Linked DNA regions of Macaca fascicularis. The protein of the gene in region 1 purifies or fractionates together with the protein of each later gene. This does not show direct contact. Links are inferred from orthologs where the notes say so. Each region holds a gene or a part of one and is shown in the gene's direction. Other genes may lie near its edges.

Region 1 (3,652 bases):
TCCGGCCCACAGTTCACTGCCGCTATTCTCACTGGGCTCCTGGCTCTCGGTAGGAGCCTCCTTACTGCTCTGCCAATCCCTACCTTCATGCCCTTCCAGGCCATTCTCCATCCAGCAGCCAGAGGGGTCTTTAAACGATGCAAATCCAAGGCCAGGCGTGGTGGCTCACACCTGTAATCTCAGCGATTTGGGAGGCCGAGGTGGGCGGATCACGAGGTCAGGAGATCGAGACCATCCTGGCTAACATGATGAAAACCTGTCTCTACTAAAAATACAAAAAATTAGCCAGGCGTGGTGGCAGGTGCCTGTAGTCCCAGCTACTCAGGAGGCTGAGGCAGGAGAATGGCGTGAACCCGGGAGGCGGAGCTTACAGTGAGCCAAGATTGTGCCACTGTACTCCAGCCTGGGCAACAGAGCGAGATTCCGTCTTATAAATAGATAGATAAATAAATAAGATGTAAATTCACACACATCACTTAATGACTTTCCACTGCATGGAGAATAAAATCCACAGGCCTCTTTTCAACCTCAGATGGGGATCTGCCATCTGCCCTGAACAGACACTTTTTTCCACTGGTCCAGAGTAAGCACAGTCCAAATGGCCTTGCCCTGGCGCAGGCCCAGGAGTAGGGGTGTCCCATTACTCTTGTGGTTGCCTGTCACCAGTCTGTACTGTAGCTAGGAGCCCATGTGGGCTTTCCCACCATGCCAGGTCTCAGCCCCCAAGGCGCTGTGTGAGCTTGGCCCAGCCTTGCCCTTCTCTGGGCCAAGTTTCCCAGATAACTGTAAGAAGGGGCACGAGGCCTGTATCCTCCCAGCCCTGCTCTCCGGGGGCTCCTCGCCCAATCCGTTTCTTCACCACCTATGTGGTGCCCAGCACCGAACAGTACAGGTTAGTGGGCACCATTATCCTTGGGGTCAGTAGGAACTCACAAGTGGCATTCACTGGCAGGCCCATTTCCAACATGCAGCCCCACCTCCTGTCAATTCAGGACTTCTGAGAGGTGGCAGGGTTTGTGAGCATATGAGTGGAGGTGGATGAGAGGGAAGGGTGGGAGGAGGCCCCTGGGTTACAGGCTGGAAGCTAAGGGTCTGTCTTGGTGTCCCCACGCACCAACCTTCAGGCTTCATCGGTTATGCCCCCAACCTCAGCAAACTGGTGGCCGAGTGGGAGGGCCAGGACAGCGACAGCGACCAGCTGTTTTACACCAAGATCTTCTTGGACCCAGAGAAGAGGGTAAGAGGCAGGGGGTGGGCCAAAGGAGAGGGGTCTGGGGATCCACTGGCCAGGCTGCATGGGAACAGCTCCTCTCAGGCCTGAACCTCCGGGTTGGTGTCTTAGAGGCAGCATTGTTCAGTGGTTCAGAATAAGGACTTCAGGGCCAAGGTGCCTGGGTTCTAATCCCAGCTCACTGTTTACTAGTTGTGTGACATCGGGCAGCTTCTCTGTGCCTTGTTTTTTCCGTTATAAAATGCAATAATGGGCCAGAGGCGGTGGCTCACACCTGTAATCCCAGCACTTTTGGAGGCCGAGGTGGGTGGATCACCTGAGGTCAGGAGTTTGAGACCAGCCTGGCTAACATAATGAAACCCTGTCTCTACTAAAAATACAAAAATTAGCCGGGTGTGGTGGCGGGTGCCTGTAATCCCAGCTACTCAGGAGGCTGAGGCAGGAGAACTGCTTGAACCTGGGAGGTGGAGGTTGCAGTGAGCCGAGATCATGCCATTGCACTCCAGCCTGGGCAACAAGAGCAAGACTCTGTCTCAAAAAAAATTAATTAATTAAAAAAATAAAAAAATTAAAATTAAAATAATGCAATAATGATAGTACTTTCTCACAGAGATGTTGTCAGGATTAAATTGATTAATATATGTAGAATATTTTATTTATTTATTTGAGATAGGGTCTCACTGTCACCCAGGCTGATGTGCAGTGGCAGAAACATAGCTCACTGCAGCCTCAGCCTCCCGGACTCAAGCGATCCTCCCACCTCAGCCTCCTGAGTAGCTGGGACTATAGGCATGCGCCCCCTTAAAATTTTTTTATAGAGATGAAATTTCGCTGTGTTACCCAGGCTGGTCTCAAACTCCTAGGTTCAAGTGATCCTTCTGCCTCAGCCTCCCAAAGTGCTGGAATGACAGGTGTGAGTCACCGCACCCGACCCACGTGTAGAATATTTGGAGTAGTGGCCAGGCGCAGTGGCTCATGCCTGTCGTCCCAGCACTTTGGGAGGCCGAGGCGGGTGGATCACCTGAGGACAGGAGTTCGAGACCAGCCTGCCCAACATTGCAAAACCCCATCTCTACTAAAAATACAACAACAACAAAAATTAGGCATGGTGGTGCACACCTGTAGTCCCAGCTACTCGGGAGGCTGAGGCAGGAGAATTGCTCGAACCCGGGAGGCAGAGGTTGCAGTGAGCCAAGGTCATGCCACTGCATTCCAGCCTGGGTGACAAGAGGGAAACTCTGTCTCAAAAACCAGAATATTTGGAGTAGCTATGTGCTTGGCAGGCGCTGGTTACTTTTACGGCCGTCGTTGTTGTAGGTGAGCCGGCTGCATTCTTAGATTCCTTCCAGTTCAGAGTCCCTGGTTTTCTGTGAATGGAGCCACTAGACTGTAGACCCCAGGAGCTTGGCTGCTGGCCTTCTCTGGGCACCCAACTGCCCTGATGTGATATGGCAGAGTAGGTGTGGGGAGAAAGGGCCGAGGCTGGGGGACAGATTCCCCCCACTGGGTGAGACTGTGAGGGGAATTCCCCCCACTGGGTGAGACCCCCCAGGGCCTGTCCCTGCTGCAGCCTGGTACCCTCTTTCGTGCAGGAACAGATCAATATCACCCTGGACCACCGCTGCCGTATCTTCCAGAACCTGGATGGAGCTTTGGGTGAGCAGCCCCCATGGGGAGGGGTGGATCCTGAGAGGGGTGATAGGAAGGATTCCTGGCAGAGCCTGCGCCCAAGGAAGAGAACTGGGCTGCTTCTTTCTGGCCATTGTGCTGGGAGGTCACTGGGTTCATCCCTAGGTCCCCAGGGACCACTTGGATGTCCCGGCGCAGAGCCGTGTCTCTCTTGGGGGCCTGGGACAGGTGAGCATTCAGTCTGGGAGGAGTTGGGGGATGTGCACAGCAGGTGCTGGACCCCCTGCCCTGCATACGAGGTCCTTGCAGGTGGGCGCTCCTTCCCTGCTTTCCCGGCCCTCCCACCTTCCAGGTGAAGCAGTCCTAGGCTGGGGGCAGGAACTCAGCTGGTGGCATAGGCAGCTTGGGAAGCAAAAGGCTACTTGACCCTTGATGCCACAAACATCCCTGGGTCTGGCCTCATGTCTGTGGCTGGTGATGACATTGCTTTGCCATAGGTCTTCCTGAGTGATCTCAAGCAAGTCACACCTCCTCCCCACAGGGGACTCAGTTTTCTTATCTTTCCAAAAGGGAAGTGAACCAGATCCACTCATTGCTGACTTTGTGGCTAAATGGCCCTTTTGAGAATCTGATGAAAGCTACGGCTCTGCTCCCAGAAAGATGCAGAAACAGTGTGCCCTTTGCCTGTGGTTTCTGGGGGTTAAGAAGCACTAAGTTCAGATCCAGGCCAGTCAGGAGCTATCTGTTTTCCTTTTTTTTTTTTGTCTTAAGATGGAGTCTTGCGCTGTCGTC
Region 2 (3,752 bases), on another chromosome or scaffold:
ACTATGCTTATACCCCACCCAGAGGGTCATGGCAAGTATAATGTATATTTGCATTTACATCTTTAATAATGATATTTGGTGCTCCTGTAGGATCATAAGCCCTTTCTGGGCTTATTGATTCTTGTATGCCAGAGCTGAGTATTGGACATGGCAACTAAAAAATATTTCTAAAATGAATGTGTGAATTCCCAATAATGTCTTTTTTTCATTTATCTCTGAAGCCCAAATATTTCCCTGATTTTATTGATTTGCATACATTTGTATATAAGGAGATTATATAAAGAACGTATATAACCTGTGTTTTGTTTGTATTTTAATGTTTTGTTTAATCTTTTGATCTAGTGAAGTTTTTTATGTGTGTATATTCAGATATAGCCATCTTTTATTTGTTGACCTATCCCACTGATTTGTTGATGTTATTTTATTTATTTATTTATTTTTTGAGACTTAGTTTCGCTCTGGTGGCCCATGCTGGAGTGCAGTGGCGTGATCTTGGCTCACCTCCACCTCCTGGGTACATAAAAGTGGTTTTCCTGCCTCAGCCTCCCGAGTAGCTGGGATTACAGGCGCCTGCCACCACGCCCAGCCAATTTTTTGTATTTTTAGTAGAGACAGGGTTTCACCATGTTGGCCAGGCTGGTCTCTGACCTCTAGGTGGTACACCCGCCTGACCTCAGGTGGTACTACTGACCTCAGGTGGTACACCCGCCTCAGCCTCCCAAAGTGCTGGGATTACAGGCGTGAGCCACCACACCCGGCCGATTGCTATTAATTTTTAATGGTATCCAACATGTAATAGGCATTGAATAAATAACTTAAAAAATGAATGAGTTAAAAATTTGGTGAACTCTTTGTTTATACAGACATCTTACAGAAAAGCTGTCAGCATAGTTGAATTTTCTATTAATAGTTTGCTTTTTTATCTTACTATATCACGGGCATTTTTCCATGACAGTAGTCTTCTAATTTTTTTTTTCAGCTACACTAAAATTGCATTGAGCCAAACTTGCCACCAAGAGCCCAACAGTCACCATGATGCTGAGCACGGAAGGCAGGGAGGGGTTCGTGGTGAAGGTCAGGGGCCTACCCTGGTCCTGCTCAGCCGATGAAGTGATGCGCTTCTTCTCTGATTGCAAGATCCAAAATGGCACATCAGGTATTCGTTTCATCTACACCAGAGAAGGCAGACCAAGTGGTGAAGCATTTGTTGAACTTGAATCTGAAGAGGAAGTGAAATTGGCTTTGAAGAAGGACAGAGAAACCATGGGACACAGATACGTTGAAGTATTCAAGTCTAACAGTGTTGAAATGGATTGGGTGTTGAAGCATACAGGTCCGAATAGCCCTGATACTGCCAACGATGGCTTCGTCCGGCTTAGAGGACTCCCATTTGGCTGTAGCAAGGAAGAGATTGTTCAGTTCTTTTCAGGGTTGGAAATTGTGCCAAATGGGATGACACTGCCAGTGGACTTTCAGGGGCGAAGCACAGGGGAAGCCTTTGTGCAGTTTGCTTCGCAGGAGATAGCTGAGAAGGCCTTAAAGAAACACAAGGAAAGAATAGGGCACAGGTACATTGAGATCTTCAAGAGTAGCCGAGCTGAAGTTCGAACCCACTATGATCCCCCTCGAAAGCTCATGGCTATGCAGCGGCCAGGTCCCTATGATAGGCCGGGGGCTGGCAGAGGGTATAATAGCATTGGCAGAGGAGCTGGGTTTGAAAGGATGAGGCGTGGTGCCTACGGTGGAGGGTATGGAGGCTATGATGACTATGGTGGCTATAATGATGGATATGGCTTTGGGTCTGATAGATTTGGAAGAGACCTCAATTACTGTTTTTCAGGAATGTCTGATCATAGATATGGAGATGGTGGGTCCAGTTTCCAGAGCACCACAGGGCACTGTGTACACATGAGGGGGTTACCTTACAGAGCCACTGAGAATGATATTTATAATTTCTTCTCACCTCTTAATCCCATGAGAGTACATATTGAAATTGGACCCGATGGCAGAGTTACTGGTGAGGCAGATGTTGAATTTGCTACTCATGAAGATGCTGTGGCAGCTATGGCAAAAGACAAAGCTAATATGCAACATAGATATGTGGAGCTCTTCTTAAATTCTACTGCAGGAACAAGTGGGGGTGCTTACGATCACAGCTATGTAGAACTTTTTTTGAATTCTACAGCAGGGGCAAGTGGTGGGGCTTATGGTAGCCAAATGATGGGAGGGATGGGCTTATCCAACCAGTCTAGTTATGGAGGTCCTGCTAGCCAGCAGCTGAGTGGTGGTTATGGAGGTGGTTATGGTGGTCAGAGCAGTATGAGTGGATATGACCAAGTTCTGCAGGAAAATTCCAGTGACTATCAGTCAAACCTTGCTTAGGTAGAGAAGGAGCACCAAACAGCTACTCCATATATAAAAGCTGTACATTTGTGGGAGTTGAATAGAATGGGAGGGATGTCTAGTATATCCAGTATGATTGGTAAATGGGAAATATAATTGATTCTGATCACTCTTGGTCAGCTTCTCTTTCTTTATCTTTCTTTCTCCTTTTTTAAGAAAACAAGAGTTAAGTTTAACAGTTTTGCATTACAGGCTTGTGATTCATGCTTACTGTAAAGTGGAAGTTGAGATTATTTTAAAACTTCAAGCTCAGTAATTTTGAACACTGAAACATTCATCTAGGACATAATAACAAAGTTCAGTATTGACCATAACTGTTAAAACAATTTTTAGCTTTCCTCAAGTTAGTTATGTTGTAGGAGTGTACCTAAGCAGTAAGCGTATTTAGGTTAATGCAGTTTCACTTATGTTAAATGTTGCTCTTATACCACAAATACATTGAAAACTTCGGATGCATGTTGAGAAACATGCTTTTCTGTAAAACTCAAATATAGGAGCTGTGTCTACGATTCAAAGTGAAAACATTTGGCATGTTTGTTAATTCTAGCTTTTTGGTTTAATATCCTGTAAGGCACGTGAGTGTACACTTTTTTTTTTTTTTTTTTTTTTTTTTTTTTTTTTTTTTTTTTTTAAGGATACGGGACAATTTTAAGATGTAATACCAATACTTTAGAAGTTTGGTCGTGTTGTTTGTATGAAATTCTGAGGCTTTGGTTTAAATCTTTCCTTGTATTGTGATTTCCATTTAGATGTATTGTACTAAGTGAAACTTGTTAAATAAATCTTCCTTTTAAAAACTGGAAAAAATCTTGTGCTGATTGATTTTTATTATGTTCTGTCATATGGGCACGCTGATTGACTTTATAATTCCCTCAAAATTAAAATTTTTAATTTTAAAATTATAAACAATATATTTAGCATCTTTATATGTTCATTGTTGCATATATTATTAATTATTTCTAAGATATATCCCTAGAAATGGGATTGCTGAGTCAAAGATATACTCATTTTTAAGGCTTCTGATTTGTGTTACCAGCAAGATTCTGGTACTTTATCTTTTTACCTGGAGTGTGTGCTTTATTTTCCCCCTTATGCCCTCCTTATTGATGCACATTATTCTTTGTGATCTTTGCCAGTCTGTTAGTTGAGAAATGATATCTCATTGCAATTTTAATTTGTATTTTTTTGATTAATATTAAAGTTGAACATTTTCTTCTTTTTTAAAAAAACTTACCATGTCTACAGGACTATTGAGCTACTTTTGGAGCCACTTACCAAGATAGTATTCTCTAAAATCCAAAGAAGTGAAAGCGAATAAATAATCCTTTGTATTTCATCACAAACTAGAA

What was found. The genes of interacting proteins can lie anywhere in the genome.
Region 2: the proteins of PLOD1 (region 1) and HNRNPH2 purify together in Homo sapiens (affinity purification with mass spectrometry; 3 studies listed by BioGRID and IntAct, counting the BioPlex papers as one, with this or other methods). This does not show direct contact. The link is inferred for Macaca fascicularis from reciprocal best matches to the Homo sapiens genes PLOD1 and HNRNPH2.

The regions. Positions count from the first base shown.
Region 1 is NC_088375.1:222,847,264-222,850,915, reverse strand, and holds part of PLOD1 (procollagen-lysine,2-oxoglutarate 5-dioxygenase 1), read left to right. Parts: intron 1-1,124; coding exon 1,125-1,237; intron 1,238-2,823; coding exon 2,824-2,887; intron 2,888-3,652. UniProt on the Homo sapiens protein: Part of a complex composed of PLOD1, P3H3 and P3H4 that catalyzes hydroxylation of lysine residues in collagen alpha chains and is required for normal assembly and cross-linkling of collagen fibrils.
Region 2 is NC_088395.1:108,081,397-108,085,148, forward strand, and holds the end of HNRNPH2 (heterogeneous nuclear ribonucleoprotein H2), read left to right. Parts: intron 1-979; 5' UTR 980-1,032; coding exon 1,033-2,382; 3' UTR 2,383-3,210; downstream 3,211-3,752. UniProt on the Homo sapiens protein: This protein is a component of the heterogeneous nuclear ribonucleoprotein (hnRNP) complexes which provide the substrate for the processing events that pre-mRNAs undergo before becoming functional, translatable mRNAs in the cytoplasm. Binds poly(RG).